2 linked regions of the Diceros bicornis minor genome follow. The protein of the gene in region 1 purifies or fractionates together with the protein of each later gene. This does not show direct contact. Links are inferred from orthologs where the notes say so. Each region holds a gene or a part of one and is shown on either strand. Other genes may lie near its edges.

Region 1 (10,390 bases):
TTGACCTGGGCCACGGCCAGCAGTGGCTCCACCCCACGGCCTGGCCCATTCACCAAGGGTTGCGCACGGGCCTCTGAGGCCAGCAGGGTCGGGTCAGGACCCTCATTTTGCCAGGGAGGGTACTCTGGCTCACCCTGAGCCACTGGCTGGCCTGAGACACAGGCAGATGCTCAAGAGTCCAGGGAGGTGGGAGCCAGGCAGCCCGGGCGGCACCCCTCACATCCCTGAGGCTCCCAAGTTGGGGAGGTGCGGGGTTGGTGGTGGGCGGGCTGCTCTCCCCTCATCCTTCCCAGGCCCTTGTGGCCAGTGGGGCCCATCTCGCACCTCAAACCCTCAATGCTGCCCCTTTAGCCCTGAGCCTACTCAACCATCTCCTGGACCCCCGGACACGTCCTTAGGGTCAGAATCCTCCAGAAAAGCAGTGTGGGAAGGTATCCCTACTGTGCCCCTCAGCCTGGGTAACAGGACGCCCTCAGGACACGAAGTGAGACTTGAGTCAGGGTGTGGAGGGCACCCTGGGATGGAATGCCCTGCCCTTGGGGCCACATATCTGCCGCCATGCCACTGTTGCCCTGTCAGCCCTGGGCCTGACCCTTGACTCATGGGAGCCAGTGGGGCTGTGGGGGGCTGTGTCAGGTCTGCTGGGTGAGTCGTCCATGCAGACAAGCATGACACTGACTGGCTAGGCGGGGACCCTGTACCGAGAGTGAGTGGGAAACAGCACAGTGCACGGTGACCACAGTGGCCTTTTGTGAGAGGCTGCCACGTGCCCCTGTGGGGGGACCTCCTCACCTGGGTCGGGAGAGCAGGGAAGGTGTGACAAGCCCTGAATGTGGCTGACGACGTCCCTTAGGACAGGGACCATCAGCACAGGAAGACATACAGCAGCCAGGTGGAAGGTGACAGTCACGCCGGGTATCATGCATGCAGCGGTGGACACTGGGCTGACACTGGAGCTGACCTGTTTGAGGCAAAGGCCTGCTCCCGTCCCTGTACCTCCCCAGCTTGGCCGCGGGACCCCAGATCACTCCCAGGGCGTCTGCCTGAGGCAGCTTCAGCTGAAGGGCTGGCGAGAGAATTCCAGACAGCAAGAGGGATGCAAGATGCCAGCCTGGACAACACACCTGCCCCAGTGTGAAGGGCGAGAGGAGCCAAACACAGGAGGAAAGAGGCGGGGGGACCTGCCAGACGCAGACTCGGGGCCCAGGGAGCTCCAGCCCAGAGTGTCCACGGGAAGCTGGGCCGGCCCAGGAAGCTCGAGGTGGCACCTTTTCACTGGTCCTGGGGCCAACTCTGGGTGACTGCCACAGGCACAGCACAGGGCCTGCCACCCTGCCCAGCACTGCCCAATGGGTCAGCTCTGTCGTCCCCCAGTTCTCAACCCTCTGCCCGAGCTGCTCCAATGGGTTAACTTATACTGAGCGTTGATGGAGAGATGGCGCTGCTGCAGAACTTCAGGGTCTCCACGTGATCATAACAGCAACATCGTTGTAGAACTTCTTCCTGAAGGCACAAAGAAGAGAAGGGAGCCCACCCCAATCCTGCTGTCTAGCAACAACGGGTGTTAATGCTCCAGGATGGTTCTTCAGTCTTCTTGACTGTATACCCACATTTCCTGTGCTCACAAAAGCGGGCACCATGCACGCACTGTCTCCTAGCTTTTCTCCTTGGTGTTATGTCTCTCCATCTTGGTGCAACATCTCTGCACCCTCTGTTGGGCCTGGGATGGTGGCACAAACAACACCTTGCCCTCCCCCGAGCTCAGAACGGATGGAAAAAGGACACTCAGGCCAGAGATGGAGCCCAGGGGGCTGGGCTTACGGCCAGGAAGGTGGCTGGCCAGTGTGACTGGGGCTGCGCCTCACAGGGAAGTCCACTCCTCATTGGTCAGAACTGGATAAGTCAAGGCCTCCCTCCCCAGCCTGCCCGCCCACCCCCACCTCTAGAAGCCCTGTCCTGCGCACCCAGGAAGACCATGGGGATCTGCCGCACAGTGTCCCATCTCTGTAGCTCTTTCTCTGGTGCTGGTGTTCCCCACCGCGCATCAGGCCGCGCCTTGGCGTGCCTCCTGGGTGCCTGCCGGGGGGATTCCTTTGGGTCACTTTTCATAAGCTTTCTCAGCCAAGCGGACGAACACGTGTGAGGCTTCCAAGCTCAGTTTATTTCAAAGTATTCCTTTTTTGTCTAAGTTGAAGAAAATAATTTCATTTCTGCTTTTTTTTTTTTTTTTTGTGAGGGAGATCAGCCCTGAGCTAACATCCGTGCTAATCCTCCTCTTTTTGCTGAGGAAGACCGGCTGTGAGCTAACATCTATTGCCAATCCTCCTCCTTTTTTTTTTTTTTCTTCCCCAAAGCCCCAGTAGATAGTTGCATGTCATAGTTGCACATCCTTCTAGTTGCTGTATGTGGGATGCCGCCTCAGCATGGCCGGAGAAGCGGTGCGTCCGTGCACGCTGGGGCTTCCGAACCCAGGCCGCCAGTAGCGGAGCGCGCGCTCTTAACCGCTAAGCCACCAGGCCGGCCCTCATTTCTGCTCTTAAGTTTCTCGTTTAGTTCAGGGAAAGCCTGAATGAATTTTGTCCCCAGTTAATCAAATGGAAGCCTCTAGTGGCAGACTCCCACTCCCAGAGAAGGGGAGTTGGGTTTTAAAGGGCTTCTGTAAAGAAAGGACGTGGCTCCGTCTCGGGACTAGCCTGTTCAGAAGGGAGGCTCCCACGGCTCTGTGACTGGTCTCAGCTCCAGGTGCCTGATGCAGTCCCCCTGCCAGCTCACCCCTGCTCCACTGCAGGCCCCCAGGGCCGCCCTCCCTCTCTTCAGAGTCTTCACTGAGCTCGCTTATCTGGCCCACCCCCACTCCACCCTGCTCAGACAATGTCCCCTGCACGCCCACAGCCGTAACCCACTGTGGCAGGGCTGCTGCGTATCCTCCAAGCTTTCTGACTCCCTTCCTGTCCCTGCAGGGCGGGGGCCCTGAGAAGCCAGAAGCCCGAGGGCCTTGTTCTGGTCCCAGGGCCTGGGGACACCTGCTGCCATGCGCCAGGAGGAGGATGGACGTGGACACAACCCTGGGAGCCTGGCCTGGCCGCAGCAGTGGCTCTGCAGAACCAAGGCAAGCGTGGAGGGCCCGTATCTGGGAGTGGGGAGGCAGCCTGAGGGCCAATGTCCAGGAAGTCCTGCTGTCTGTCCAGGACTCCCACACCCCACAGAGACCATGCTGTGCCATGAGGGTCACCACTCTGTCTCCTGGAAGTCTCTGAGGCTGAACAAGGTGGGGGAGGAGCTGCAAGGGCGTCTCCCGTGGCCAGCACTGCGAGGCCTGAGGCCATCCCAGCTGCATGCAGGTGAGAGTGACGCCTGCCGCCAGGACCCTAGTGGGGCCAGTGTGGGTTAAGCAGAGCAGCTCCTGTGATGTGCTGTCCTCACCCACAGCCCCAGCCCCTGCCCAGCCTGCCCTGAGGTGTGGTGATGGCCCTAGGAGGTGGCCTGGGCCCTTGGCAGGCTGGGGATGCTTCCCGGTCCCCATCCCTCACTGCCCCACTTTCCTACAAAACCCTGGGCAGCGGATGCTGTGCCGGTCCCGGAGGAGGCCGGCTGGCAGTGGCTGGGGGCTGGGATGCCTCTGTACCCGCTCACACAGGAAGGCACCACCAGGGGCAGCTGCTGGGAGGTGGCTGGTGGCTCAGAGTGCCCTGAGCGGGGACTTCTGCCCTTGCCTGGGAGCTATGAAGGATGAGGGTGGGCAGCAAGGGTGAGCAGTGTCCAGGAGAAGGTGCGGTGGCATTAGAGGTGACGTGGGGGACTTGGGGGGGCAGGGTAGTAGAAACATGAAGGTGGGCAAGTGACCAGAGGCACCCAAGGGAGGGTGGTGTGGAGGAGATGTCAGGGAAGGGCCCTGAAAGGCTATGGGCACCAGAGATCAGGCCAGATGAGGGCTGTTGGGGAAGGTGTGGGGTGGATGAGGTGTTGGGGAGCCCTGGGCTGGGAGGTGAGCAGGTCTCTTTGTGGCCTGAGCTGCAGCTTCCTCTTCTGTAGAATGGGGGTACAGCCATCCCCTGGAGGCTGCTGGGGGCATTGCTCGAGGTGCCAGGCCTGGCGTGGCTCTGTGGAGGACAGGGTCCTGGGTGGTCATGGGGCATCCTAGAAGTGATTCCTTGGGGCAGTAATCAATTCCTGGCGCTCACATATGTCCGTGGTGCTCACATCTGAGTTGGTGGTGGGCAGGCAACATGGAGTTTGCCAGCTAGGCTTGCAGGTCAGGCAAGAGCTGCCAAGGTGACAGCTGGGGGGAAGGGATGGTGGGTGCAGGGAATGGGACACCCAGAAGCAATTGCTCTCAGGCTGGCCTGGGCGAATGGGACCCGCAGGCAGTGGTGGGAAGGGGAGCCCTTGTCCAGACCCTGGATGGTGCCAGGGAGAAATTGAGGCAGGCAGGCCCAGCCGAGGTGGGGTCTCAGCCAGTCTCAAGCACAGCTCTTTGGCAGTTGGGGCTACTGCCCAAGTGACAGCCAGCATTATCAGACACCTCTTGCCCACTGTGTGCCTTGGCCCTGTCTGAGTCCAGACTGCCTGAGGACCTGGGGAGGGGAGAGCCCTGGCCCACCTTCTCAGGGTCCTGGCCAGCCAGGGGGCAGCAGGCATGGTGAAGGTGGAGACAGGAGCTGGACATCACGGGGGCTCAGCTCCCGGTCAGCCTGGCTCTGCCCTCCAACCACCCAACTTCTGGACATCTGCTTCCTTCAGTGCGCCGGTAGTTGGTGGCCGTCCAGGGCCACCTGCAAAGGTCCTCCTGTCCAGGGCCGGCGGGCAGGGAGCCCCGCGGTCTCCACTCCCTCTGGCCACCCCGTCCGCCCAGGCACAAGCTGCTCGCCCCGAGCCGGTGGGAGGCTGGCTGGGCGCGGGCCGACCTCGGGAGCCCTGGGCCAGTGGACACCGGTGTGGGCGGCAGAAAAGGGCTGCGACCTGGCGTGTGCCCTGATGCGGGGCCGGCTGTCCGCTCGCTGTGTGCACCGGGCCGGGCATCCCGTGGCCGGGGTCCTTCAGGGAACCTCGCGGGGGCGTCCCCTGACGCCGCCCTCCGGGACGCCACCGCCCAGGGGGACGAGCCCAGTTTCCCGCCGCCGGTTCCGGCTCCCCTCGACAGGGTCCCGGCCACGCGGCACGCCCAAGGCCCCAACCCCACATCAGTGCATCTGACCGCGCCCCCTCGCTCTGCCTCGCCTCACGCCCCAAGCCCGCCTGGGCGCTCTGGCCCCGCATCCGCGCTCAGGCCCTGCCTCCTCTTTCCAGGCTCCGCCCTTCCCTGCGCTCCGGCTCCGTCTGCCACTCTCGGCCCCGCCCACAGACCTGGCCCCGCCTCCATGTTAGAGGCTCCTCCCACACGTTCTTAGCCCTGTTTGTGCACCGTGGCTCCTTCTAGCGGTCCCGGCCCCGCCCCACGCTCTCCGCCAGCTTTACGCTGCGGCTCCGCCCCACACTCAGTCCCGCCCCACGCCCCGCCCCCGCCCCACGCTCCTGGCCCCGCCCCACTCCCTGCCCCCGCCCCCGCACTTCCGGGCGGCGCCGGCGGGGGCGCTCCGGCCTGGGCTTCTGCGTCTGGGCTCCGGCTCCCCGCTCAGGGAAGCGATCGCGGCCGCTGCCGCCGCCGCCGCAGGACCGGCTGGAGTCGGGCCGGAGCCGCGTCCCCGCGGAGCAGGCCACGGAGAGCGGCGGCCGGCCTCGGCGGCGCCCCGCGGCCTGCCCCGCGCCCACCTCCGGGCCGCCGCGCGATGGGGGCGGCCCCGGGCCGCGCCCCCGCCCGGTCCCGCCCGCCGCACCGCCACTGAGCGCATGGGCCGCGCCGCGCCGCGCCGCTCCGGGAGCCGGGCCCGGGGCCCCGCCGCCGCGCGCGGGTGAGTGTGCGGGCCGGGCGCATTCCCGAGGGCGCGGGCCTGTGCGGCCGCATTGTAGGCCGCGTAGGCCGGGCGGGCGGGACCCGGAAGAGGGGCTTGGCGGGTGCGGGCCAGGAGGGCGAGGGGAGGCTATGTGGGCCGGGAGTGTGTGCGGGGAGGGTATGCGGGCTCCAAGGGTGTGAGGGGAGGCTGTGCGGGCTCCGAGGGTGTGAGGGGAGGCTGTGCGGACCGGGAGTGTGTGCGGGGAGGGCATGCGGGCTCCGAGGGTGTGAGGGGATGCTGTGCGGGCCGGGAGTGTGTGCGGGGAGGGTATGCGGGCTCCGAGGGTGTGAGGGGAGGCTGTGCGGGCCGGGAGGGTGTGAGGGGAGGGTATGCGGGCTCCGAGGGTGTGCGGGGAGGCTGTGTGGGCTCCGAGGGTGTGAGGGGAGGCTGTGAGGGGGCCCTGGAGTGTGTGAGGGGAGGGTGCAAGAGGAGGCATGCGGGAGGGCCCAGGCTGTGCGGGGGGTTGGGGTGGGGCCTGTGAGGTCCAAGGCTGTGGAGGCAGGCGTGTCAGAGGGGGGATGCTAGCAGGGGATGGAGAATGCGAGAACTGTTGACACTGGCGTGTGTGAACACGGAAGAAGCAGACTTTGGTTCAGGAAGTGCAGACTCTTGGTTTGGGGGAGAGGAAGGGTGTGAGGAAGACCCCGGTTTCCGAGAAGGGGTGGGTGGTGCTCCTGGAGGAACCTGGGGTGGGAAGCTGCTGCGTTTGATTGTGTGGTGCCAGGTGTGTTGTGGTTCTCCTGCCTGGGGTATGTTTTGTGGTGTGGGTGGGGTGCAGAGTAGCTGCTGGGCCCAGACATTCTGTGCAGGGATCTTGGAGAAAGACAGGGCAGTGGAGCGTCCCTTCCCTCTCCCCCCAGCAAAGAGTAGGAGTGAGTGAATCTGTGCCCTGGGCTGCGTCCAGCTGTGGGTGGCCTGTCCAGTGGCTGTCCTCTCTCAGATTGATGCCTTGCCTCCAGCACTCTCTCTCGGGTGTGGATCTTAGATTCTGCCTCCACTACATGTTTTGGAATTCAGTCCCCCATGGAACCAGAGCTGCACAGCCAGGGCAGTGAAACTTGTAGCTCGGCACAGAGGACAGTAGAGAATAATACACCAGATCTCTGGGGATTTTTCTCAGCCCATCTCTAAGATAATTTGTAAAGAGTTCTTATTGTGCATCTCGGCTTCTCCTCTTTGCTTGCATTTTATGTTCTTTGCTTCTTTAGGAAGAATCTCGGGCATACTTAGACCCACAGGCTCTGTTTTGGAGAACACACACAGTCTAAACGTGACCTCCCAAGATAGTCGGCAATATCTGGGTTTCAGTTTTAAGAACTTCTATTCAGGGACAAGGATGGGAGAGCATGCAAAATACAGTGTTTCTGTTTGATTTTCAGCAGGTGTTGGTGTTTCTTGGATTTCTAGTTTCAGAAAAGCTAAGTGGACTTTTTTGGGTTACATTAGTCATTGAGAATTGAGGTGGTGGGGGAATGCATTGTGTGTAAAACAGTAGACCTGACCCTTCAAGAGTTTAATTAGCAGACAGTTGGGAAAATGTCATTCTTGCTCTGTTACTTCCACAGTCCATATAGATCAAAAGTTCAAAAGTTATATTTGACTAAAATAAATAAATACATACACATCTGTAGCATCGAGCTGGCTGCCCTGGTACCCAGGGGGTATGCCTCAGCAGTGACTAAATGAGATTTTAAATGCCGTATTGGAGTTGTAGATTCCTTCTATGGAATCCCTTTATTGATGGTGGTTACAGGCTGTTGGCCAAACTCAGTGCTTGTGGGCATTTGACTCTAACCTGAATTAACATAACTGCTTTCTGTGTGGTATGCACACGTGCGGACACTAAATGCTGGTGTGCTCCTCTGTGGGAACCCAGAGGTTGCAGGACCTGGAGCACGTTTCAGTGTCATCAGTAATTTGGAGAGGTGTTCATGTGCTCCCAGGGACACCAAATGTCTCTGTCAGTTGACAGCCAAAAATAGATGTGAATTACAAGGAATGTTTCTTTTGGGCAATGAAACATAGTTTAAAATGATTAGAGGGACTTGTTCACACATGAATTAAAATGTTAGTTTTTTAAGACATCCACTGTTTTGTAATGAATGGCTGGGTCTTGAATTTGCTGCTTGTTCTATAGCACAATAATTTAGCGTCTGTAAAGAGTTAACATTTGGCATCTATGACAAGTGTTGTTTTCCTTTATGTCAATGAATTAAATATTTATTGGTGCTCATTAGTTGCAAGACTTTGTGCTAGGTGCTGTGGGTTCTGCAGAAAATGTTTAAATCAGCCTGCTACAAATAATTTACATAGAAGACATAAGCACCTTAAGAGAAAGTGACAGTGACTCCTAATTAGCCTCCCATTTGCACACAGTGACTTGGTTCTTTCTCAAGGCTAGTGAACTACAAGGCATCTCCAAGGGTAAGGCTCAAGGGCCAGGTGCTGGCCCTCTTTCCTAAGATGGCATCCCGGACAAGAGGACATTAGACGTCCACAAGCTGGTGTGGAGCTGAGACACCGAAGGTGCTCATTCCAAGTTGATAGGGCTCAAAGAAAGCAACTTTGCAGTTGATGTGGTCCAGGAGCAGCAGGGTGCCATAGCCCATGGGCCTTGACCTTAAGAAACAGGGCATTCCTGCCAAGGCTGAGATTACAGCCTACCCAGTAGTTTACATAGAAAGTCATTAGCTGCAGAAATGTCATTTGGGGCACATAATTGTGACCTATTCTCTGTCTCTGGATGCTTCTCGCTTCTAGCCATCTGCAGCTGCCGGCAGGTGAAGTGTGTGCAGCATGAGAAGGCAGGTGTGAGGGGGTGGATTACACGTATACCAGTGTGAAGTAGCCCTGAGTGTGAAGTGGTGGCTGGGGAGAGCTACCCTTTGTGTTGGAACCAGGTTTTAGGGTTTTATTTTGCTCCCTCTGGCTTTTTCAGCGCTCCAGGTGGTTAGACTGGACATGCTTCTAGCCAGCCCACTTATCTCATGGCAGGCCATGTTGCAGTCACCCCCATGGCCGGGTTTGGAAGTGTAGCCAGAGCTCGTGGGCTCTGTGAGCTCCTGTAGGATGCAGCAGGGAGGACTGAAGACCATGCAGAGTCCTGATCCAGGACAGTCCCCCCTCACACCCCAGGCAGGCTTATAGCAGCAACAGCAAACCTGTAGTTCCTTGACCTCCAAGAGGGTGGGTGGTTTGGTTTTCAGCTTATGAGTTAAATTGTGTGAGCTGTCTGCTTCCTTAGCTAAAAGGTATAATGGTATTTGGTGTCATTTTTCTGTACCTTCTCTGTTTCTCAGAGTACTCAATTGCCGTTTGTTATCAGAAGGACACTGTCTTTATAAGCAAGGTTTTAAAAGTGCAACTTTCTGATGGAAGCACTTGCAAGATGGTCACATTGGTGATGTAGCAGGCCCCTGTGTGTGTGCGTGTGGTGGTGTCCTTTGATCATTCAGTTGAAGATGCTGAGGGTGACCCACGATGGGCTGCTCTCTCAGCAGTGTTGAGAGTTAAGGGACAACTCGCCCATGTGTCTGCACATGTTGTGAGGCATCCTAAGTGTGAAGTGGTGGGGCAGGCAGAAAGATACAGTGGCTTTCGCCTGGACAGCGTGGGAGCAGACACGCCCGCCCACCTTCTGGTGTGCGACATGCCTTCCTGTCCGTATCTGAGTCTCAAAGAGACCCTGTGGGGCAGGAGGGCGGTCATCCTTATATCACATGTGAGGGACCGGCTCTCACCCAAGCGTGTACGACTAGGAATAGAAGCTCCTTTCTCTCCTCCAGTCCTCCTGCCTTCGTGGAGCTGGCAGAGATGGACCGGTCACTGAGCTCTGTAACTGAGACGGGAGGTCCCCAGGCTGCTGGTTTCTGATGTTCTCGCAGAATGACACTTGAAGGGAGAGGTGCTCTCCATGTTCTGGGCATTCATTTCTTAGCACCGAAGGCGTTCCTATGGTTATAAAAGTTGTTAGAGATTGTTTTAATATAGCACAAACCTTGTGACAAAAGATTGAAAATTTAAACTGCATTTCTGGTTTAGAGTTCGAGCGGGAGGGCGTCATTCCAGGTCTTGTCTTGAGAAAACCTCTTGGTCATGTTTCCATGGACCCACCTTTCCTAATCCTTGTCCTCTTAATGGTTTCAACAGGACAGATTGATTCACTTTGGAGCTGTAAGTACTGATGTATTAGGGTGCAGCGCTCATTGTTCATTGACGCACAGAGTCCCAAAATGAATATCCAAGAGCAGGGTTTCCCCTTGGACCTCGGAGCAAGTTTCACCGAAGATGCCCCCCGACCCCCAGTGCCTGGTGAGGAGGGTGAACTGGTGTCCACAGACCCTAGGCCCATCAGCCACAGCTTCTGCTCCGGGAAAGGTGCCGGGATTAAAGGGGAGACGTCAACAGCCACTCCGAGGCGCTCAGATCTGGACCTGGGATACGAACCTGAGGGCAGTGCT
Region 2 (9,593 bases), on another chromosome or scaffold:
GCCTGAGGTATGCAGTGAGGCAAGAAGTCAGACAATGACTACAGTTTGGGGCCAGGGAAGGGAATGGAAAAGTTTGAGGAACCCAGACTCCATCAAACACCCCAGGAGTACAGAGCTGGAAAGACAGGATCAGGGGCAGAGGAAGACACATGAGCAGAGCGGGAAGATAGCAGGGAAGGCGGCTGGGAAGCCCAGTCCTCCCTTGTTCTCGGAGCAGCTTCTGCCCAGAGCCGGGAACGTGCTTGGCTCCTTGTGATGTTCACATTCTTGGACTCACAGCCAAGTTCGAAGGCCGAGCCTGCCCTCCTCCCTCCCATCAAGCTCTGGCTCCCCCACCATTTCCAACCCCACAGCGACCCCAAGAAAGCAGCTCAAATCATCCTGCTCAGGCCACCATGGCAGAAAGCCTGCAGACAGAACAGGCTGGAAAGGAGGGACAGAGACGTAGCTCGGACCCACCAGCCAGTCTGTTCACAGGGCACACCTAGCTTGCAGCCCCCTCTGGGAACAGGGGTTTGTGGACCACACGGCAGGAGCTGTGACCTGCTTTGGAGAGGGTCTCTCTGTGGTGGGAAACTGCTGCCGAGTCCCCACTCCCCATCCCCCAGCGGCCCCAACACACAGCTCCACACTACAGATGTTTCCTTTCTTTCTGGGGGTCACTGACGGGTCGCCAAGGCTCTGCTGACTCACAAGGATCAGCTGATCTTCAGCAGCCTTGGGGGACCTCAGACAGGCCTCTCCCTCCCACTGTGGAGCTGAGTGGCTCAGGGTTCCATAGCTCTCACACACACACACCCCAAGTGGAGTCGGACAAATCTGGGTTCAAATTCCAATACTGCCACTTATTAGCCCTCCTCTCTTAGAGAAGTTTCTTAACTATTCCAAGCCTTTGTCTCTCATCCTGGTAAATGGGATTTGTAAATGGCTGGCATGGTCCAGTCATACAATAAAAATAGTTACTAACTTTGTCAAATTTTAGCAGGATCCATACTCTGTCTAATGAGGTGTAAGTTTCTAAGGGCAGCGACCAAACAAATCTGCTCATCGTTCATCATTCATTCAATTAAAAGGCCTTTGCTGAGAGCCCAGTGGCTTTTAAGTCCTGTGCTTGCGATGCTATGGACCTCAAGAAGCATCAGACCTGGAGCCTGCCTTATCCTCGGGGGTTACGGTCCAATGGACAGTTCACTAAGTATACCACAAGCAGGAAGTGGTCAGAGCCGTAAGAGCAGCAGACGTGTTCCCTCGACAGACATCTGCTGATTACTTAGGTGTCAGGTCCTGGCTAGGAGCCAGGTAGGTGTAAGGATAAACAGAATAAAGTGTGGTAACTTTAAAAGCTTAACCCAGAGGACAGGAGAATTTGGACCAGACAAGAGAAGAGAAGAAGAGTGCTCCAGGTAGAAGGCCCGAGACAGGTATGACACGGAGCAGGGAGCAACACAGTGAGTGGCCCAAGGTCCCATGTTGCTCCCTCCCACAGCTCAAGGACATGCCAGCAGTGGGTACCTTGTTCTTCCCCCCACCATCTCCTCAGTGCTGAAAATGTTTATTCTTCTTCCATTTCTCAAATGACTTAAGAAGGCTGTGCCTACCCTGAGCTTGACAAATACTTCTGGAGACCAGATGGGAGTTGGGGAGTCCTTGGGCCTTACAAACCAGAACCTCAGAGGGTGAGCCTGGAGAGACTGAATGAAAGCAGCCTTCCTCCTCTGACCTACTTTCCCATCTGTCAGCAGGGGTTCCTGACCTCTGCCCTGACCCTCCTCTCATGGGGCTAGGATAAGTGGCAGCCCTATCACCTCTACAGTTTGCCAAGGCTCAGCATCTCCCTCAGAGAGGATGTATCTGTTAAATGGTGATAATAATAATACTTACAACTGTGTGATTAAGGCCCTACACTGTGGAGGCAGATTCCTGATGTTGAATCAAGTTCTGCCACTTACTAGCTGTGTGACCTTGGGTAAGTTACTTAAGTTTTCTGTGCTCTAGTCGCCTCATCTATAAACTGGAGATATTACACCTATTTCACAGGGCTGTTAAAAGGATTGAATGAGTAAAGATTTGAAAAGCATTTAGATCAGTGCCTGCACACTGTAAGCACATAGAAAGAGTTTGTTAAGTAAGTGAGATATAGATATATACATGCTCCTCAGCTATTCCTCTGTGACAAGACAGCCCTACCAGCTCTCTTGCTCATTAATCTTTCTGGGGATAAAAACAAAATCAACCTCCTCCACTTCTTTTTAGCATTGTTCTCAACCCTGTTAAATTGGCTCTAATTTTTTGGTTTCCTCTAATATTTTGCAAAGGATGGTTCAAGTACCACTGAGGTATGCAAGATGGCTTCGCGTGTACCTGAATGAACGTTTAATTCAATAGTTAAGTATTTATTTTTCACATATTTTAGAAAGAAATATAGATAAAAAATCGGACCTGTGATTTCATATTATTGATTGGGTCAAGCTAAGAAAGAGTGAGTGGACTGACAGTGGATTTAAAGAACAATATTAAGTCAGCAGTGAGTGGATGTAATGGGGTCCCTCCTATGACTGCAGTTAGGCTTGGCTTGACAGCAGCCTGGGGAGAGTGGGAGGCAGCCCAGAGAGGTCTAGGCTCAGGAGGTGGGGGTAGGCCCAGTGGGCTCAGGGATGAGTGGGACTCAGGGATGAGAGGCGGTTGGAGACACAGACTTATCCTAGTCCCTCAAGGCATCTGGCCCCAGGGTGGCCCCCTACTACAGTAGACTCTAGCTGATTTCCCCCTATCTCATACCCTGAGGCAGTATCTTGGTCTCTTCTGACTCTATTCTCTTACCAGGCCAAGGCATCTGCCCCCTCACTCCCACCCCCAGCAGATCGATCCCTCTTCAGAATCTTCCAATCAGGGGTGTCCTTCTCTGGACTGAAGCGAGATAATCATTACTACACCAGGAGTACCCCACCCCAGGGCAGGAACAACAACAACAGAAACAGGAGTTAGAAGCTGCATAGCACTTCCCACTATATAAAGCACTTATGATCTCATGGGCTCATGGAACTCTGAGTTCCAGGGGGAAAGGTGACAGCAAAACATGCCAGGCAGAAGAGAGAGAAGGTGCTTGCTTTGCTTCCCAGGGCAGGAGGGCCGGGGTCCTGGGAGAGAAGCCACACTGATGAACACTGGGGAGAAGAATGTCCCCCCTCACTCAGCTCTGGGGCCTCAGCTCCCAAGAGCAGTACAGGCCTCAAGCTAGGGCTGGAGCAGCAGCTTTTAGGCCTGGAGGGCCCAGGAGGGCCTTCCCCACAGGCCTCCAGGCCCAGTGCCCAGTTAGTGTGGGGCAGACTAGTGTGGGGGCCTCCCCCTCCCCCAGTCTCCTGGGAGTTGGGGGGGTGGTGAGGGGATCGGCCAGGCTCCCCCTCCTAGGCCAGCTGCTACAGAACCTTCCGGCTCCAACATTCCATCCCCTCTTAAAGGGGAAGTCGCTGCTTCCAAACTCCGCCTGTCCAAAGCCCTGCAGCTGGGTGGAGAAGACCCCGCCAGGGAGGGGAAGATGAAGAACACTAAGAGACTCTTCCTGGCCCTCCCATCCAGGCTCTGAGGCCCTTTCCAAGGTCTCCTCCTCGGCCACCATCTGGAGGAAAAAGGCCCCAATTCGGAGGGAAAATCAGCACCTGGGCTAGTGAGGACTCCTCCCAGGGGCCGGCGCTCTGCTCCCTTGATAACATCCTGAACACCCCAAGAGAGAGAGGGGAGACAGCTAAATAAACATCAGGTCTGCAGGCCTTAGCTTACAGCCTGGCGCCTAAGCACCCTCCATCTCACCCCCTCCTCCAGTTCAAAGTCCTGCACCATAGCCCTTAGATGCATGATACTCCAAATATGGCTCTGAGTTGTGGAGCCGAAAAGATGGAGCAGGCGAAGGCCGAGTGCCCAACACCCCAAGTCTATGCTACAAAGGTGGCTCCCTTGGCAGGAGGAGGGTTGGGGATTCTGGCTCTGGAACTGGGTGGAGGGGGGTGTGTGTCTGTCTATGTGGGCCGCTGGTCTCTGAGGAGGTGAGGGGACTTGACTGGGCTGAAATTCTGATTGCTTTGGGGGAGTTGAACGTCACCCTAAACTAGGGAGACCAAGGTCCCCCGAAAGAGGGGAAACGAGAGTCCCTCGAGGGGCTGAACTCCAGCCTCTGAAAAAGCCAAGGGGGCCCAAATAGCCGGGTCGCCCCTTAGAATCCAGAGCAGGGCTAGGAGCCAGTGTAGCAAAGGGGAGTCCAAACTGGCCAAGTGGCTCCCAGAAGCCGGAGGGGCTGGGGTCCCCCAGAGGCGAGGCGGGGGCCATCCTCACCCGAAATCGTCGTCCATAGACTTGAAGAAGAACTTATAGCTGGGTCGCTGCAGAACGCCCTTAAAGTCCGCCAAGGTGACGCGCTCGGCGGGCAGGGGCAGCTTCACCAGGTACGGCGTCTCCTGCCCGTCCAGGTGGTAGATGATCTTGGTCTCGCCCATGGCTCCGGCCTCGGGCCCGGCGGCCCGCGCGCGGCCTGCTTGGGCGGCCGGGCCGGGCCTCTCGGGCGGCGGCGGCGCTCGGCGCGACCCAGCGGCTCAGCCCAGTCGGCGGCCGGCCGCGGCGCCAGCTCCCTTGTTCTTCAGCCGCTCCCGGGTCCCAGCGCCGCCTGCCGCCGCCGCGGCCGCCGCTTCCGCTCCCCACTCTTCGGCTCGGCTGGCGACGGCGACTCTTCCGGTGGCCGCGGCCCTCTCGGCTCTGGGCTGCAGCCGGGCCCGCTCCCCTCCCCTGGCCCCGGCGCGGCCCCGCCCCGGCGCGGCCCCGCCCCCGCCGCCGCCAGCCGCGCTGGCCTCGCGGCAGATGTCCTGGCCCCGGGCCTGGCCCCGCGGACACCCCGCCCACCGGCCGGGCGGCGCGCTCCTGCTCCTGCGCTCCGGTCCCAGGCGCGCGGCGAGCGTCGCGACGGTCACCTAGGCCCCCAGAGATGGAAGGGCAGATCTCACTAGGATGGCCGCCTTCCTGGACTCTTCAAGGACCTTGCTCTGGACCCGAGGGGGATCTTGGCTGCTCCTCTGCAGCTGGCAGGGGTGAAATGCAGGGGTCCCTTTGGTTCCCAGAGATGGGAGGGGGAGCGCGGTTCTGATCATGTATAGCTGGAAGAAAGTGACCTCGACATGGCCATTTAGGGTCTGTTGAGAAGCACAACTGCTCTCACTGAGTCTCCAAACTGAGCTCCTTGAGGACAGAACAGGATCGAGTTCTAATTCCTTCTTAAAACCTCAGTACCTAGGTGCAAAGTAGTGGTTTAATAAGTGGATTGAATCCAGAATGGGTACAATAATGAAAATGCTCTCAAACGGAGAACTAGGTATAAGCAGTTCCTAATAGACCTCCTCACTCCTTAGCTTTTAATTCATTTAATAAATATTGAGTGCCTACTATGTGCAAGGCAAACTGTATAAGATACAGCAAAAACAAGACAGGCTGCCCTCAGGACCTTGGCTCATCTGCAAGGAGGCACAAGCTTGTATTTAAATAACTTTAGAGTGACAAATGCTATGAAAAAGATAAAATGGAGTGATGTGATAATAACCGGAAAGAGGATTATGGGTGGTCAGAGAAGGCCTCTTCCATTTGAGCTAAGACCTAGAATTAATGAAGAAGCAGCTATAAGAAGGTCTGGTCTGCAGCAGGCAGACCAGAGTCTGCATTCCAGGCAGAGGGCACAGCCAAATTCAAAGGCTTAAGGCAGGAATAAACTCGCCAAATTTGAGGAACAAGAAGCAGGCCATTGTGACTATAGGGATAGTGGTAGATGAGGCTGAAAAGGTAGATTGGAACCAGATCACAAAGGTCCTTTTAGGCCACAGTAACAAGTGTGGGCTCCTCCCACTCCATTTTGTACACTGTGGCCAAATTAGCATTTCAAGAGTAAGTACAGTCATGTGCAGCATAATGAGGTTTTGGTCAACAATGGACCGAATATACATAAGATTAGTACCATATAGCCTAGGTGTGTAGTGCGCTATACCATCTAGGTTTGCGTAAGTACATGCTATGATGTTCACTATGAAATCGCCTAACAACGCATTTCTCAGAATGTGTCCCTGTCATTAAGCGACGCATGACTGTACCTCTTTCAGACACTTCTTTTGCTCAGAACTCTCCACATTCCCCAATGCCTTCCAAATATTCTTAGCATGATATTCAAAGCCTTCCATAATCTAACTTTTTCCTACCTTTAAAGCCTTTTGTTTCAGTATGTCCTGGCTAAATTTTTTACTTCAGCAAATCAACCTATTTGCTAGCCCCTGCACACACCTTGTATATTTTCATTTCATACCCTTCTCTTTACTTTAAATTTTATTAAAGTAATATGTGTGGCCGGCCCCCATTTCCTTTTATTTTTAAATGATTTCATCTCTTTGCAAGATTTTGTTAACATTATTTCCAACCTTTCTCCTATCCAATTGGATAGGTAAAATATTCCCGATTGAAAATTCAAGTACATAAGGATGGATGTACAGTCTCTTTCCTATTTGGTTCTCTAGTCCTCCAGCTCTCAAAAGGAAATAATTCATTTACTTATTTTTAATTTCTAAGAACTCTTTTGTTCTCCAATTGTTCCTTCACAGACACAATATCTTTCCTCTTTGAGTTTTGAGAATACTAATTATAGCTTTCCCCTCCTGAAGTTTTCAAAAAGCTCCCTACTTTGTCACTGTTTCCTTCGTTTCAATTTTCTGTGTTTTGGTCTCTGCCTTTCACGCTGGAAGTTTCCTCAAATGTTTGATGGCCCTAAGCAGTCTATTCACGTTTAAGAGTGAGATACTAAAAAGCTGATTGGGAGCTCTGTCCATGCATACGGCTTATTAACTAACAGGCTTCACTGTAGGGTGATCCAGTGGGGGAAAGATGACTTCTCCCCGAATAAATAAAAAATGTTAAGTATTTGCAGGTCCTTTTTCTGCAGTTGTTCAGTTTGTTTTCGCCTGGGAGTATAAGTCGGTGTATGCTGATATTCAGAGCCTTACCACTCATATACTATCACTTAATCCCTCATTTTCAATCTAGCCCCTCACCCGCATCTCTACCATGCCTGCTGTTGAGTCCAGAGGCTCTAATAGTTTACGTATTCCCTGAGGTTCTGAAATTTCATGGGGCTATTTCATTCATTATGCTGGGTGCTCATGGGCTCTGTCAGTCTGGAAACTCATGACCTATGGGTTTAGGAAACCTTTGTAAATATTTCTTTGATAATTTCCTCCCCATCGTTTCTCCAAAGACTCAATCTTCCATTTCTTGCGGGGGAGAAGTTGCGGTAATCACCTGGCTGGATCAGATGAGGGGGACCTGGGGGGCTTTTTCTTAAACAGATCTTTTTCGAATTTCCTTCCACCTCACCTCTAGCTCTCAGCCCCAATCCTTACCTCCTCTGCTGAGCCTTTTCTGGGTCCAGAAGGGCACACTGGTTTGCTTCTTGTTAATAACCACCTCAGCAGGTAAAACCCATCTCATTCTGCTCTGCCAGGTCAACTTTCACTCTTCCATTTATTTTTCATTTTCCAAAATGTTGATGTCTCTCATTATTGTCATCACCTCCTGTTTTCCTTATCATTGAATCATGTGCCTTTTTTGAAGTCCTTTACTGGCATTTGAATGGGTTTTGGAGGGAGTAAAAAGCCCATGTCTTTAATTTGCACATTTAAGTAGAAATCCTTGGCTTTGCTTTTGCCATTCTACCTTTTCTGTTTTTTAGGCCACTCAAGCATCACAATCCTGTAAGCCTTCCCTAATCACCCCAACTGGAAGGACCCTCTTCCTCCTAAAAAGTTCTATAGGCCACTTCTGATCTCTGCCACCCATTAGGTACAAATCAGAGGTGCCCTATAACTATTTGTATTTAACTGCCCCTATTAGGTCCATGCCATAAACAGAAACTGAGATTTATTGAATAAGAAAAGTAAATTAAGTCAAACCCCGGCCAGCCTATCTTTTCTTCTTTAGAAATACTCAGTAATGCCCCTTCAAACCCCTGAGTACAGTTCAGTATCCTCTTCCTCAGCTTATTCCTTTCCACCCAAATGAAATGAAGAAAGGCAACCATTTTATCTATGATGTCCAGGAGGGCTACTTGTTACCAGTAACATTTGCCACAGTTTAAGTGTCAACAGAGTAAGGGTTATAGGAAGGCAACCAAGAGCTCAAAAAGATGAGCTAGAAGGGCATGTCTCATGGTTGAGGTTAGAGGAGACAATACAGCAAACTGACAAATTCCAGCTTTAGAGTCCAATAACAAATCCTGGCTCTATCAATTACCAGCTATGGGACCTCTTTGAACTTCAGGCTCCTCATCTGAAAATGGGGATAAGACCTACCTCACAGGGCTGATGTGAAGGTTAACTAAAATAACACATGAAAAATATTTAGCAAAAAAAAAAAGCAAAATGCCTATCATACAGTAATCAGTCTCTCAATATCAGAGGAAAGCCCATTTCACAGGATCTTCCTCTGTCTTAGGATATCCATTGCTGGCTTGGGGTTATATTTGCCTGTGAGGGCCATTTCCCTTTACCTGGACACTGAATAAGCTGAAGCAGAAAGAATTCTGGATTATGAGGCTCAAGTGCTGGATTATGAGGCTCAAGTCCTTAGCCTTACCCCTCAGGAGTCATGAGACCTTGAGCAAATTTCCTTTTCTTTAAGATGAAAAGTAGCTCAGCTTCCCTGACAGCAGTACTGGATCAACTGGACAAAGTACATGAGGGACTGGTAGGTGGTTAATGGACTGACTTACACTTGGCATCATCACCCTCTGGCAGAAAAGTGTTTGGACTAGGACTCCCTATGGAAAAAGGCTCAGGCACACCACCTCAGGATCACAAGTTGGTCCATAGAGGCTAGAAAAGAATCTAGGCCCTCCACTATCCATAAGCCATGGCAATGGTCAATTAGCGAGGCACCACAGTACCACCTAGTGGCCATAATAGCCCTCTTCGCCCTCTCCCCCAGGTGTTAAGGAAAAGCTGACATGTCAGAGGTTTAGAACTCTTTGGTCGCCTACTTCATCGGCTGATCAGTCAGAGCTGGAAGGAAACCAAATACACTCCTCTCTCTCTTTTTTAATATTAACAAATACAAGCAGCAGAGAGGGCCAGCTGCTCTCTGCTGTTCCCTGAGGGAACGCCAGAACACAAAGCTGTTCCTCTGGCCTTCCTCTAACTACAGGGCCTGTTTCGCTCCTCCTTAGGCAGAGCTTTGTTCCAGCCCAGCTTCCCTCATCCCAATTCCCCAGTGGGGATGGGAGGCACGTGGTTGCTGGCGGTGGGAAGAATACTGTAATTCCAGCCTCTGCTCCTTTAAGTCTCAGCTCAGACGGTGGTCACTCAACCTTCTGCAACTAGCCTCTTGCTTGCCCTGGCCCAGAAGCCAGGAGGGCAATCAACCACACCCACGGGAGCAGGCAGTGTGACTTCAGTCATCTTCAGATGACTCCTCTTCTGCCTCTTTTAGCCACTGGATGAACCTCTGCAGCTGTAAGAAAGCAGAGTGGATAGCTACTGAGAGAGGGACACATAACCCTCCTGTTCTCCTTCGTGGATAAACAG

What was found. The genes of interacting proteins can lie anywhere in the genome.
Region 2: the proteins of AXIN1 (region 1) and DVL3 purify together in Homo sapiens (affinity purification with western blotting; 3 studies listed by BioGRID and IntAct, with this or other methods). This does not show direct contact. The link is inferred for Diceros bicornis minor from reciprocal best matches to the Homo sapiens genes AXIN1 and DVL3.

Annotation. Positions count from the first base shown.
Region 1 is NC_080765.1:47,943,303-47,953,692, forward strand, and holds the start of AXIN1 (axin-1), read left to right. Parts: upstream 1-5,778; 5' UTR 5,779-5,888; intron 5,889-10,079; 5' UTR 10,080-10,162; coding exon 10,163-10,390. UniProt on the Homo sapiens protein: Component of the beta-catenin destruction complex required for regulating CTNNB1 levels through phosphorylation and ubiquitination, and modulating Wnt-signaling.
Region 2 is NC_080754.1:39,516,447-39,526,039, forward strand, and holds the start of DVL3 (segment polarity protein dishevelled homolog DVL-3), read right to left. Parts: upstream 4,720-9,593; 5' UTR 4,488-4,719; coding exon 4,327-4,487; intron 1-4,326. Other genes in the region: EIF2B5 (translation initiation factor eIF-2B subunit epsilon), read right to left, coding at 9,460-9,519. UniProt on the Homo sapiens protein: Involved in the signal transduction pathway mediated by multiple Wnt genes.